Linked DNA regions of Cricetulus griseus. The protein of the gene in region 2 purifies or fractionates together with the protein of the main gene of each other region. This does not show direct contact. Links are inferred from orthologs where the notes say so. Each region holds a gene or a part of one and is shown on either strand. Other genes may lie near its edges.

Region 1 (3,563 bases), on a different chromosome or scaffold from region 2:
AAAAAAGAGAGAAGAAAAAAAATCCACATTAATTTTGTATTCTATTTCATAATCTATTTGCTTTCTTTAACAAAACACATTTGTAACTGACCTAAAAAGTCTGCCTTATCAGTGGCTTGGCCTCTGTGGCCAGTTTGTTTTCTGCATGCATCAGGATCTACAGATGGAGGGGGAGGAGGGTTTAAGGCTCCCTAGGCAGTCAGTCACAGGAGATTTGAAGTTCACACAGCCTGTTTGCTGGCACAGGCATGCCCAGGTTCCAGGCTTCCTTGAGAGCCAGGCCTGTGGGTTCAGAGGGAGCCAATGGTGCAGCTCAAAGCATGCCAGGGCTCAGGACAGCAGCCTGTTCTCTGAGCGTCCTGGTGCCTCTGGAACGCACCCAGGGGAAATTATTTTCCCGGAGCCTAAATTTAGCTCAGGGAGCTTGGACATTATGTCATTCCCTGAACTTACCCAGCAGTAAACAAGTTCAAAGCAAGGTCAACAGCTGGTGGCCAACCCACCCGTTCCCAGTTCACCAACCTGTGGGGAGGTCACATGGGTCCTGGGCTTATTCCCTTTGCATGAGGGCTGGGGCAGGTGGGTACAAGCCCAGTGGCCTGGGGTGACTGGAAGAGGATCCTGGTATGATTCCCACTTGGGCCTGTGAAGTATTCAGTGCAGTTGGGGTGTGGAGGTATACAAGATAGCGTCACAGAATTGTCACCCCAAATTAACTCCTACAGCTGAGACAGCTGAGCTCAACTGGCCTGTTAGGGGGAATGGGACCCAGATTCCAATGGGGAATAAGGCTGTAACCAGACAGCAGAATAGGAATGACGCCAAGAGAGCTCCAGACATGATCACACTTGCCCTAGTAACCTCAGAACACCCTTCCACACAGAGTGGGGCGTGGGGGCTCACTCCACTCCAAACCCCCAGTCCCTTCCTCCACCCCAGAATTTTGCTGAGCACTTTGCTGATATCTCCACCTCCTTTATTCCTTGTGACACCCTGACAAGGGAAGCCACTTTTATCGGTCCCATTCTAGAAACAAGAAAACAGGTAGGTACATGGGAGTCGATGCTGTCTGTCCAAGGCCATGCTGTAGTAAACAGCAGTTTGGCTGTGGCTATGGCCCATCCCAGCCTCTCCACCTTCTGCCTTAAGTGTTATCTAACCAGCAAGATCCTGGGAAGCCTAGTGGGTTTGCCCTGACTAGAAGAGCCCTCAAGGAGAGACGAGAGGTCATGCCCATAGATGTAAATGGGACAGGGCTTTAGCAAAGCCACTAGGGCAATTATAAGGAAACTTTTCTGGTGTGTGTGTGGGGGGGGTTAAGCCTAGGGTCCTTGCATGCCTGGTCAGAGTTCTACCATTGACCTACATTTCTAGCCTTTTTTTTTTTGGTTTTTGGTTTTTGGTTTTTCGAGACAGGGTTTCTCTGTGTAGCTTTGGAGCCTATCCTGGCACTCACAGAGATCCACCTGCCTCTTTCTCCCAAGTACTGGGATTAAAGGCGTTCGCCACCAATGCCCCATTTCTAGCCTTTTATCCATTGTTTTTATTCTGTGTTTGTTTTCACCACATACATGCAGTACCCTTGGAAGCCAGAAGAGGGCACTGGACTGTATACCCCGGGTACTGGAGTTGTGAGCTACCTTGTGGTAGCTGGGATTGGAACCTGGGTCCTTTGTAAGAGCAACCAATACTCTTTTTTTTTTTTTTTTTTTTTTTTTTTTTTTTTTTTAAGATTTATTTATTTTATGTATAAGTGCTCTATCTGCATGTATGCCTGTATGCCAGAAAAGCACATTGGATTCCACTAGAGATGGTGGTGAGCCACCATATGGATGCTGGGAATTGAACTCAGGACCTCTGAAAGAGCAGCCATCTTAACTGCTGAGCCATCTCCCAAACTTCTTCATTTTGTTCAAGATTGGCCCCAGATTTGCTCTGTAGCTCAGGCTGGCCTCATACTGGTCATCTTGTACCAGCCTCTATTGGGCTGGGCTTAGAGCTCTATACCACCCACCACCAGTTATTAGAACTTGTATCACCCTTCTGCTCCTGTTCTAGCCTAGCTACCACCCTCCCTCACAGATAATGGCTGCAATCTCACAAAGGTGTTGCCACCTCCACCCTAAGCACCACATCACATTTTCTAAGTTCTTTAGGTCTTATCAACCCATGGTGGTGTCTCACTGCTCATAAAAAAGTCAGGGAGCAGTGGCCTTATGAGCTCACCACATTTGGAGCCCACCCATACCTCTGACTCTTACTTTTCCAATCCCTCACTTCTCTTGCCACACTGACCTTGCCTTTGCCTCAGGGCCTTTGTACCACCTGCTTGTCTGCCCAATGTTCTCCCAGATAGCCTCTTGAATTGTTTACTTGCCCAACATCTTTACCTGACTTATGTCACAAAAAAGCTTTTCCTAACCAACTTCATAATTAAACAAGACTGTCACCCCATTTTCTAATTCTAGTGATTGCTATTTAATTTTATTATTTGTTTGCTTATTTGTTTGTTTTTTCCCCCAGACAGGGTTTCTCTATGTAACAGCACTGGCTGTCCTGGAACTCACTCTGTAGACCAGGCTGGCCTCCTGAGTGCTGGAACTAAAGGCGTGCGCCACTACCACCCTCTGATTTCTCCTGTCTTAATGGCTCCAAACCAGGCCTTACTTTTCTTCTACACTCATGGTCTAGGCTTGGCCTACAGCAAAGCCTCCTTAAAACACCCGCAGCAGCCCCTCTGAGTCCCATCCCTGGACAGCAAGTACCTTCAGCTACAGGGTGCTCTTTTCCATCAGCTTGTGCCTCGTCAGCCTTGGCTTCAGGGCCGTCACTGGGCACAGATGCGTTGGGCTCTGGGGCAGGGCTGGAGTTGCTGCTGTTCTCCTGTTTGATGGGAGAGGCATCTGCTATGGAGCTCTGGTTGCTGTTTTCATCTGCACAGGAACAGAGCACAGGTTGATATCCTATAGCTGCTGAGGAGAGGGTAGCGTGTACACATGCATACATGTGGGAGGGGGCCCAGCTTTCCCGAGCCTGTGAGGTCAGGGAGTCTGACCAGAGCTAGTCTGATTATCTCCTCCCTACACCTCCCCCACAGGCCCTGGCTAACTAAGGAGGTCCCTGTGTCTGGGGCCTGCCAGACAAAACAGAGAATGGTCCTGGCCTTGACAGGACCACAGGGCTCATGAAAGCACCGTAGCTTTAGCTGCTTGAGGATGAAGCCAGGCAACATATCAGCATGAAGGAGGGGCTCTTGATTCTTCTGGGGGAGTCTGTTTTCTTTAAGGGTGTCGCCCTTGGTAGGCTGACCATGCTCCTGTGGGCTGGGCCACACCCATAAATATATGAGCAGCACAAATTAGAGTCAGCATGTTATCAAAAAAAGAGAACACACAGGACTAGAGAGATGGCTCAGCAGTGACGAGCACTTGCTGCTCTTACAGAGGATGCAGGTTTGGCTGACAGCACCCATGTGGCTGTTCATAACTCCACTTCCAGAGGATCTGACCCTCTACTGCCTCCATACATGTGGCAAACAAACATGAAATGAAAACAAACACATT
Region 2 (4,163 bases):
ATTTATAAAAAAAAAAAAAAGAAAAGAACAAAGAAAGAATTTTACAGAAAACTTTGAACAGAAGAAAGATGCCAAGATGCAGAGGAAAAGAAACACTGAGACAGGAGGATCAAAGGGCCTGGCAGGAGGACCAAGCATTGGTGTAGAGCCTGGAATCTTGTCTGCCTCACAAAGAGGGTGAAGAGGGAGACTTTAGTGGAGAGGCCCTGGTGCCCAGGGAGCACAGCCATGCCGCGCTGCTCCCAACTCTCTGTCCTCATTTGGGGACCGCCTAACTATCAGTGAGGTTCTGCCAGGCTTGGCAGGAGAGGGCAGAAGTTAGCAGAGTATCCGTCCCACTGTCAAAAGTAGGTGTTTAAGTGCTTTTCAAATTTCCAGAGTTTACAGACTGCCCATCCTCTTAGAGCTCCCAATGATTTCCATGTCTTCTAAACGCTCAGAAACAACCAAGGAAAGCAGGAAGAACAGCCCTCACCATGGCCCTTTCTTCCTCTATTACCTACCACGGAATCCCCCCCAAAATACATTTCCCCACCAAATACACATACACTGACATCAACTAAGCAGGTGACTTTTTAAAAACAAACACAAAGCTGACATTCAGAGGGAAAGGTCATTGGCTGAGCTGGGGTGGCCTAAAACAGCAACAATGACGAAGCAGCAGGAGGGGTTAGCGTGAACTGGAATGGGTAAGGGGCTGACTCAGTACTACCAAGGGGCTCGGGGAGACAGGCTTGGTACCCTATTCCATCCCCACAACTTGCCCCCAAACTTTAATTCCTCTTAAAACCTGCCCTTCCCCCTTTAAAAAAAAATGTTTTTTGTTTTTTTTTTTGTGGGCTCCAATGTGTCTTTTTAAAACCTCCCTTTTTAAGGGCTGCGTTTTCATGTTATCCACTTCAAGAATGCAGTAAGTCTGAAGGGGGTGTGCCCTCAGAAGTGGTTAGTAGAACCTCGTAAAAGCATCTTTCCCCAGCCCTTCCTTTGAGGGCACCATCTCCATCCTATCCTCCCTCCCAGGCATTAGAAACATCTTTTAGTCAGAAGTCCGTGGATAAGAACTGGATATAAAACTGCACACCTCTGCTGGGCATGGTGGGGGCGGTGAAGGGGCAGGAAGAGCTTTCCTTACGTAGTGCCGAACTCTCCAGGCTGAGGGAGGGTCCCAGTAGTGGGGGAGGGCTGTTCCTGGAACTGTGATCTCCACAGGGAGTGAGGGGGAGAGATGGCTGGCTGGCTCCTCACTGTGGAGGTGGCACAGGGGTGACTGTGCCTGGGCTTGGAGCTGTGGGGTCTGGAGGCAGGGGGGTGCCTGGGTCTGTGGAGAAAAGGAAGACAAGTGAGCTGGAGCAGGCAGAGACGGCTCCATCCCCAGACTCCACGCACGCACGCACGCACGCACGCACGCAAGCACGCACGCACACACGCGCACACAGAGAACTGGGCGTGGCATGCAGTGGGCGGGTAGATGAGTGAGGTGCCCACTCTGTGGAACTTCTTTTCCCAATACCCTTTAACACCTGACACTGGGAAAATCTCATACCCCAAACCATCCTCCTGCCCCCAAGGACTCTAAATGGGGCATCTGAATGTGGTGGGAACAAGCAAAGGAGTGCCATCGTCATGCAAATGGGTAGCTAGTTTCCAGGTTTACAGCTGAAGTCCTCTGTGCCACTGGACTCCTCCATGACCCACCAGTGAAAGGCCCCAACGTCATCCCAGGGGTGGCAGCTGCCAAATTGGGAAATGGAGGACAGGCAGAGAGGCCCTTCCTCCTGTATTCTAGTTTTACCAGACTGTTGAAAACAGTTGTGGAAATCCTAGCATCTAACCCTTCCCCGCTTGCCCTCCCTCCCACCGTGTGGAACCCTCTCCCTCACCCTTCTCCCCTCCTGGCCCCTTCTCACCTGGCAGTGGACTGGCACTGGGCAGGAGGTTGCCCTGAACAGCTGCCACAATGGCAGGGCTCTGGGCTGCGGCGGATCCGAGCCCCGGCCCGAGAGGCAAGGAAGATGGCATGGTGGTGGTCGCCGGCAGGTTAGGATGTAGAGGGTTCGCCATGGACACAGGCAGGTTAGGTGGGGGGATAGTGCCCGGGGCAAACGGGAGATGGTGGTGATGCCCATGCAGGTTAGGAGGAGGGGGAAGGTTAATACTAATGGAGTCAGCTAGACTACCAAATGGGATGATGGATGGAGCAGCAGGAGGAGGAGGAGGCGGCATGCCAAAAGGCAAACCCAAAGGAGCATTACCCGCCACGCCTGGGTGCCCGCTGCCTGGCACTGCCCCTGGCATCATTGAGGGAGGAGTTTGTTGGTTGGGGAACGGTGAGGGGCCTAGAAACAAAGAGGACAAAGAGGTGAGAGGTGAACCCTTGCGTACCAGCTCCAGCCTCACTAGCCACGAGCTGGTGCCACCTCCCCTTTTCCTGACACTAGAATAAGTGGTAAATTCTTGGAATAAAACCCCAGATATCTGTTTGGGAAAAATCCCTGCTGGTTTGGGGACAGAATATAATGGCGCCCACCTGTAGAAACTACAACCAACTCATCTCTGGGCCCATCAGGTCATCCCTTCAAGAAACCAGAATGTTTGGCTGGCTCTCTACAGCCAACACACACTGCAGAACTCATACTCACCATGGGGTCCAGGGGGGGGTACCCCTGGTGGGACTGCCCCAGGCTGGGGGGCTCCAGCTGCTTGTGGCTGCTGGGGCCCTGCAGTTGTCCCTGCCTGCCCGATCTGTTCAGAAGGACCCAAGCTTCCAGGAGGGGCCCCACTGCCAGCAGGAGCAGGGGCCACAGCTGCTGGAGCCACGGCTAGGCCATGGGCTGTGGGTGGCCCGGCAGCCCCGGCTGGGGGCAGAGCTGGCTGCTGCTGCTGCTGCTGCTGCTGCATGTGCTGGAAGTGCTGCTGCCGGGCCCTCATCTCTGCGTACTTCAGCTGCTCCATGTGGAAGGCTTGTCGGTCGGCCAGGAGCTGCTGCCGCTGATACTCCAGCTGCCAGTGCCGACGGAATACTGTTACCAGGTCCCACAAGATACTTGGGCAAATGCCTCGGCCTACTTTCTCTTTTCAAAGACCCTATCTCTCAGCTGGTGTTTCCCCAAGACCGAACCCTTGCTTCCTTTGTCCTCTGCATCCCACTCTTTTCATGCCTCCTCCCGGTATCCACATCCCTCTTCACTGCATGTTAGCAGATATGGTGTGGTTCTGGTTCATTTCAATCCCAAAACTCTGAACCTGTTATTACTCATTTCCAGTTCCTATCAACTTAAGTTTTCTTCCTTCAAAATCTGCTAAAAACTTACTGTTCTTAGGAAGCATTCCCACATGGATACACTGGCCCCTTGAATTTTGACTTTATTCTGAATCTCCCAGCACATAGTGTCCCCCCCCCCCCCCCCCGATACAGGGTTTCTCTGTGTAGCTTTGGAGCCTATTCTGGCACTCGCCACTCGCTCTAGAGACCAGGCTGGCCTCGAACTCACAGAGACCCACTTGCCTCTGCCTCTGGAGTGCTGGGATTAAAGGCGTGCGCCACCAACGCCCACTTGGCCAGGCACTCAGCTTTATGAAAATCTAGTAAGAGGTAAGCATTGCTTGCTGCCAGACCTAGAGATGTAGCAGTCAAAAAGCCTACTTAGCGGCTCACCTGTGGAAGTCGCTAGGAACCCTGCCCTACTCCTGTCTGCTGTGATGTCCTGTCAGCCTCAGGACCCCTAAGCCCAGTTTCTGGCAGGGCTCCAGGCTCCTGCTGACTTCTGACTGGATGCTACTCACTGCTTCTCGCTCCCGGTCCATTATCGTCTCCAGCTCCTCAAAATGGCGGAGTTTGATCTCTAGTTTCTTCATTTGGGTCTCCACCAGCAGAGCCACCAAAGACTTGATCTTCCTCTCTTCAACAGCAGCCAGGTGCTAGGCAAAGAGTGTGACAGGGTCAGCCTGAGGACTCAGTGACAGACACCCCAGAGAGAGAGGGAAGGACAGAGGCTGGCAGGTTTAAGAAGGAAGTATCGATGATCACAACTCACAATAGTGTAACTGTAACTGTTTTAAATGAAAAGCATGTAGAAAAAGAACAGCAAATGCTAAGACAAGTAAAAGACATTAAAGGGCTAGAAACAGCCAATGGTAAGCGATTTAGAAGTTTAAAGAGATGA
Region 3 (3,998 bases), on a different chromosome or scaffold from region 2:
CTGGGTGCCAGTGTTCCAGGCTGCTATCACACTCACCACTCACACTAATTTCAAACAGGCAGTCTTTTTTGTTGTTGTTGTTTTGTTTTGTTTTTCAAGACAGGGTTTCTCTGTGTTGCCCTGGCTGTCCTAGAACTTGCTCTGTAGACCAGGCTGGACTCAAACTCACAGAAATCCGCCTGCCTCTGCCTCTGGGAGGGAGTGCTGGGATTAAAGGCATTTGCCCCCACCACCCTGCTAAATGGGCAGTCTTCAAACCATTTTTATCAGAAAGGGCATTCCATGGACCAGGCAGAGGCAGGTGGATCTCTGTGAATTCAAGGCCAGCCTGGTCTACAGAGTAAGTGCCAGGACAGGTTCCAAAGCTACACAGAAAAACCCTGTCTCCAAAAACAAAAACAAAAACAAAAACAAAAAGGAGGAGGAAAGAAAAAAGTGCATTCCATGGGAATAAGACAGTGGGCGGGGTCAGCCCATAAGGACCTCACAACAAGGGCACACCCACCCCAAGTCTGTTCCCACAACCTTGTAGAAAGAAGCAATCAGACACTAACAAGACATACTTCAAATAGTTTAATTTTAAAAATACTCTATTCAGTGCTAAAATAGGTCTTCACTTGCTGTTGCCCATTTCCATTTTTTCTTAAACTCTTTTTTCAGACAAAAAATAAAATCATAAAGTTCAATTAAACATGCAGATTTCAAAGAAAAGGGAACTTTCTAGAAAGTCTGAGCTGAAGCAGGTACTGTGGTCAGAACCTCCAATCCTGGCTGGGGTTTCTGCAGTTGGAGGCAGGGATGCTGGAATGCAATGGACAGTGAAAACCGGAAGCTGCATGTGTGTGCGTGGTGAGTGGGTGAGTGGGGGGAAGTGGAAGGTTCTGGCAGGCACAGGGCTGGGAGCAACTGGGGCATCTACCAGAGGCAGGCCTGCCTCAGGGACAGGATGCAATCCCCCATGGGTGGCCTGCCCACAGGTACAGACAGCCTTCCCTCCTGGGAAAGCATCTCCCCACTGCTCTCCACATCTCTACCGATCAGTCCCTCTTCCAGCAGCAGCCTGCAGGGCCCAGGCCCTGTGGCTAAGTCCATGACTGTACAGTCTCCATTCAAGTTCAAGTAATCCTAGGCACTCTTCTCTAGGGTGCCTTCCACACCTTTCTCCTCGTGGCAGCGCCAGCAGCTCCGTGCAGTGGTTCTGGAGGTGGCAAATGAACCTTGATGCTCTGGCCTACTTGGGGTGCAGAAAGGATGTGAGTGTTCCTCTGCTCAAGAGCAAGCAGGCACAAGTGTCAGGGACAGGAAGATGATGCGACGACCCCACGCCCTCCATCAGCCTTCTAGCCCAGAGGGCTCCCACACAAAGGCTCTGGACCCTAGTGCTTGCCTGGACCCCAGCATCAGAGCTCGGCTAGGCCAGAATGCAATAAATAGAGGCAGGGGCCAGGAGGCGAGGGGCCAGGATGGTGCTAGCTTTCCAACGTGGTCTGCGGCACTTCAGGTTGGTCCACACAGAATCGCTTCAAGGGTGGGGCACCGGAGTCCTCCTCTTCCTCAGTGGTCTACAAACAGCAGGACAGAGCATGACGAGCCAGCCCTGAGTAGCCCTGCCCATTCACCACACTGCAGCATGAAGCCTATCCTCTGTCTGTTCACAGGTGACCAAACCCTGACCCTATTTTTAAACCCGGTGACTGTTTCCCCAGCAAACTCTGCACCCTACCATTGCACAGCTGTGCTATCCACAAAATTCCTAGAGTCTTTCCTTCTCTTCCTTGGAAATGGGGAAAGCCAGGGACCTCTTACCTGTGTCTCTAGTGGGACCGGCTCTTCCTTCGTGAGGGTGGGAGGCTCATCTGCAACTTCAGATGCAGGCAGTGATGGCTCTGTAACAGCAGCGAGTTAGCTCAAGGTAGGTCTAGGCTGGCCTTGGTCTGGGGAAGAGTTCCTGAGAGTCATGTCAAGAGGATGTGGGCCTTGGAAGCATGTGCAGGCCTGGCTGAGGAGCCAGTGTCCCTCATGTATGATGGATAAAGTGTGACTTTATCCACAGAGGACCACCATCCCAGCCTAGGTGGCAGACATGGAACCAAAACTCACCTGCCATTCCAAATATCACCATTCCTACTAGGCCTCCCTGCCCTATGAGTGGGCTGCTCCAACATTAGATAAAACAAATGGAAGGAGCTAGAACAACATTTGGCTAACAGCAGGCACACATTATTCACACCACACCAAGTTCAATTTTGTGACTTATGGGTAACAGGCCAAAAACACAGAAGCTAACAAGGGCCAAAGATGTTATGTAAGGCACCTCCACAACTCACCCTCAAGGATCTCCTGGCCCAGTGTGGGTGGCTGGGAGTCATCAGTGCGGAAGTCTGAAGTGTGTGCAGGGCTCAGAGACTCGCTCTGCTGGGGGCTGGGGCTTGAGTTGGTGCTGCTGTCCACCTTGAGTTGATAGACATCAGACATGGAGCTCTGGTTGCTGTTCTCATCTGAAAACCAAACACAGTAAAGAAACAGCTGGGGTGGCACCATCCAAGGAGCTCAGCCAGAGCCACCAATAGTTACCATTGATACAGATGCCTCTAAAAAGGAAGCCTGGGAATTATCTGCAGAGTCGAAGCTGATGGTTTTGAGACAGATGTCACTGTATAGACCAGGCTGGCCTCAGTGTTACATTGATTCTCCTGGCTCTGCCTCCCCAGTCCTAAATACAGGTGTGACTCACCACATTTGGCAAGAAGCACTACGTATGGAGCTGAACTCACTATGAACTCTGATCTTCCTGCCTTCACCTCTTGAGGGTTGAGCTCAGAAGCAAGTACCTGTTTGTGTGATACCAAGGATGAAACCCAGGCTTCCTGTGTACTGAGTGAGCATTCTACCAACTGAGCCATATTCCCAACCCAAGCATTTCTACTTGACAATATATGGTACATGCAGCCAAAACAAGAGCACACATTTCTAGCCCAGGAATAGAGAGCTCTGCTTCTATAACCATGTTTTCTATTGCCTACCAATTACAGCTCTGGCCTGGTAGCTTCTCGCTGCACAGTGGGAGGTGGTGGTGCCATCTGTGCCTGCCCATGGCATACAGAATGGTAGCACCACATGTCTGGCCCTCAGGGCTTCTGAAGGAGGCTGTGGTATATGGAGGTGGTCACCTCAGGCTCTCAGCCACCCAACTGCCCCAAGGGTGAGAGATTACCAACTCTGTCTAAAGGCTTAAGATCACCAAGGAAATTAAAAGCTGAGGCTTCCACAGTTCCCCCTCCAGCATCGCCTCCAGCAGGCACAGTCCTGGTCATGTGCACATGCTCCTTGCCTGAATGCACCTCAGTTCAGACCTAATGCTGGCCTAGCCCAATGTGACAGCCTTGAACCTCATGGCCCACACTACGGGCAGAGTGAACACTGCAACCATGCAAGGGTCCTGAAGTGGAAAGTGCTCTGTGCCCCTGCACTCCTGAGAGCAGACAGAAGATGGTTTTGCCCTTAGGCCTCACTGTCTGCCAGTCTTTCACCTAAAGCCTGGCTCCAGAAGCTGGAAGCTAACCAAGTGTTGCTCCATGAACCATATCTCTGCCGACCTCCCTGCTGCTGGCTGGTATGACTTTTCTTTCCAGCCTCCCTTGAAAGCTTCTATACATTTGCAGCATGCTGTGACAGCACCGATTGCTCTGTGGAGCCCCAGTGTTCCCATCCCATGAGCTCTGATGCTTCCACTGGCCCTGTGCATACACTAGTCACCTACTCTCACACTGTATGGGCAGTTCCTGGAGTAGACTTGTCCCCAACATTCCAGTGCCAGGCACAGGAAGTACAAACAAAGGGATGAAGTGGTGACCAGGCTGAGGCCTCCTGTCTCTTGGAGCGTTCTGATCACTGAACATCCTTGCCCTGTGAAACTGACTTTGGTGGGGAGGAAGGAGGAAAGCAGGGACAACTACGTGCTGGGTAGCTGCACATACAGTTCCAAAGAGATAGCTTAA

What was found. The genes of interacting proteins can lie anywhere in the genome.
Region 1: the proteins of Smarcc2 (region 2) and Bcl7a purify together in Homo sapiens (affinity purification with mass spectrometry; 4 studies listed by BioGRID and IntAct, counting the BioPlex papers as one, with this or other methods). This does not show direct contact. The link is inferred for Cricetulus griseus from reciprocal best matches to the Homo sapiens genes SMARCC2 and BCL7A.
Region 3: the proteins of Smarcc2 (region 2) and Bcl7b purify together in Homo sapiens (affinity purification with mass spectrometry; 3 studies listed by BioGRID and IntAct, counting the BioPlex papers as one, with this or other methods). This does not show direct contact. The link is inferred for Cricetulus griseus from reciprocal best matches to the Homo sapiens genes SMARCC2 and BCL7B.

Annotation. Positions count from the first base shown.
Region 1 is NC_048597.1:103,134,530-103,138,092, reverse strand, and holds part of Bcl7a (B-cell CLL/lymphoma 7 protein family member A), read right to left. Parts: intron 2,934-3,563; coding exon 2,766-2,933; intron 1-2,765.
Region 2 is NW_023276806.1:129,407,475-129,411,637, forward strand, and holds the end of Smarcc2 (SWI/SNF complex subunit SMARCC2), read right to left. Parts: intron 3,919-4,163; coding exon 3,784-3,918; intron 3,001-3,783; coding exon 2,640-3,000; intron 2,337-2,639; coding exon 1,908-2,336; intron 1,319-1,907; coding exon 1,242-1,318; 3' UTR 556-1,241; downstream 1-555. UniProt on the Homo sapiens protein: Involved in transcriptional activation and repression of select genes by chromatin remodeling (alteration of DNA-nucleosome topology).
Region 3 is NC_048597.1:114,258,289-114,262,286, reverse strand, and holds the end of Bcl7b (B-cell CLL/lymphoma 7 protein family member B), read right to left. Parts: intron 2,499-3,998; coding exon 2,328-2,498; intron 1,887-2,327; coding exon 1,807-1,886; intron 1,563-1,806; coding exon 1,470-1,562; 3' UTR 559-1,469; downstream 1-558. UniProt on the Homo sapiens protein: Positive regulator of apoptosis. Plays a role in the Wnt signaling pathway, negatively regulating the expression of Wnt signaling components CTNNB1 and HMGA1.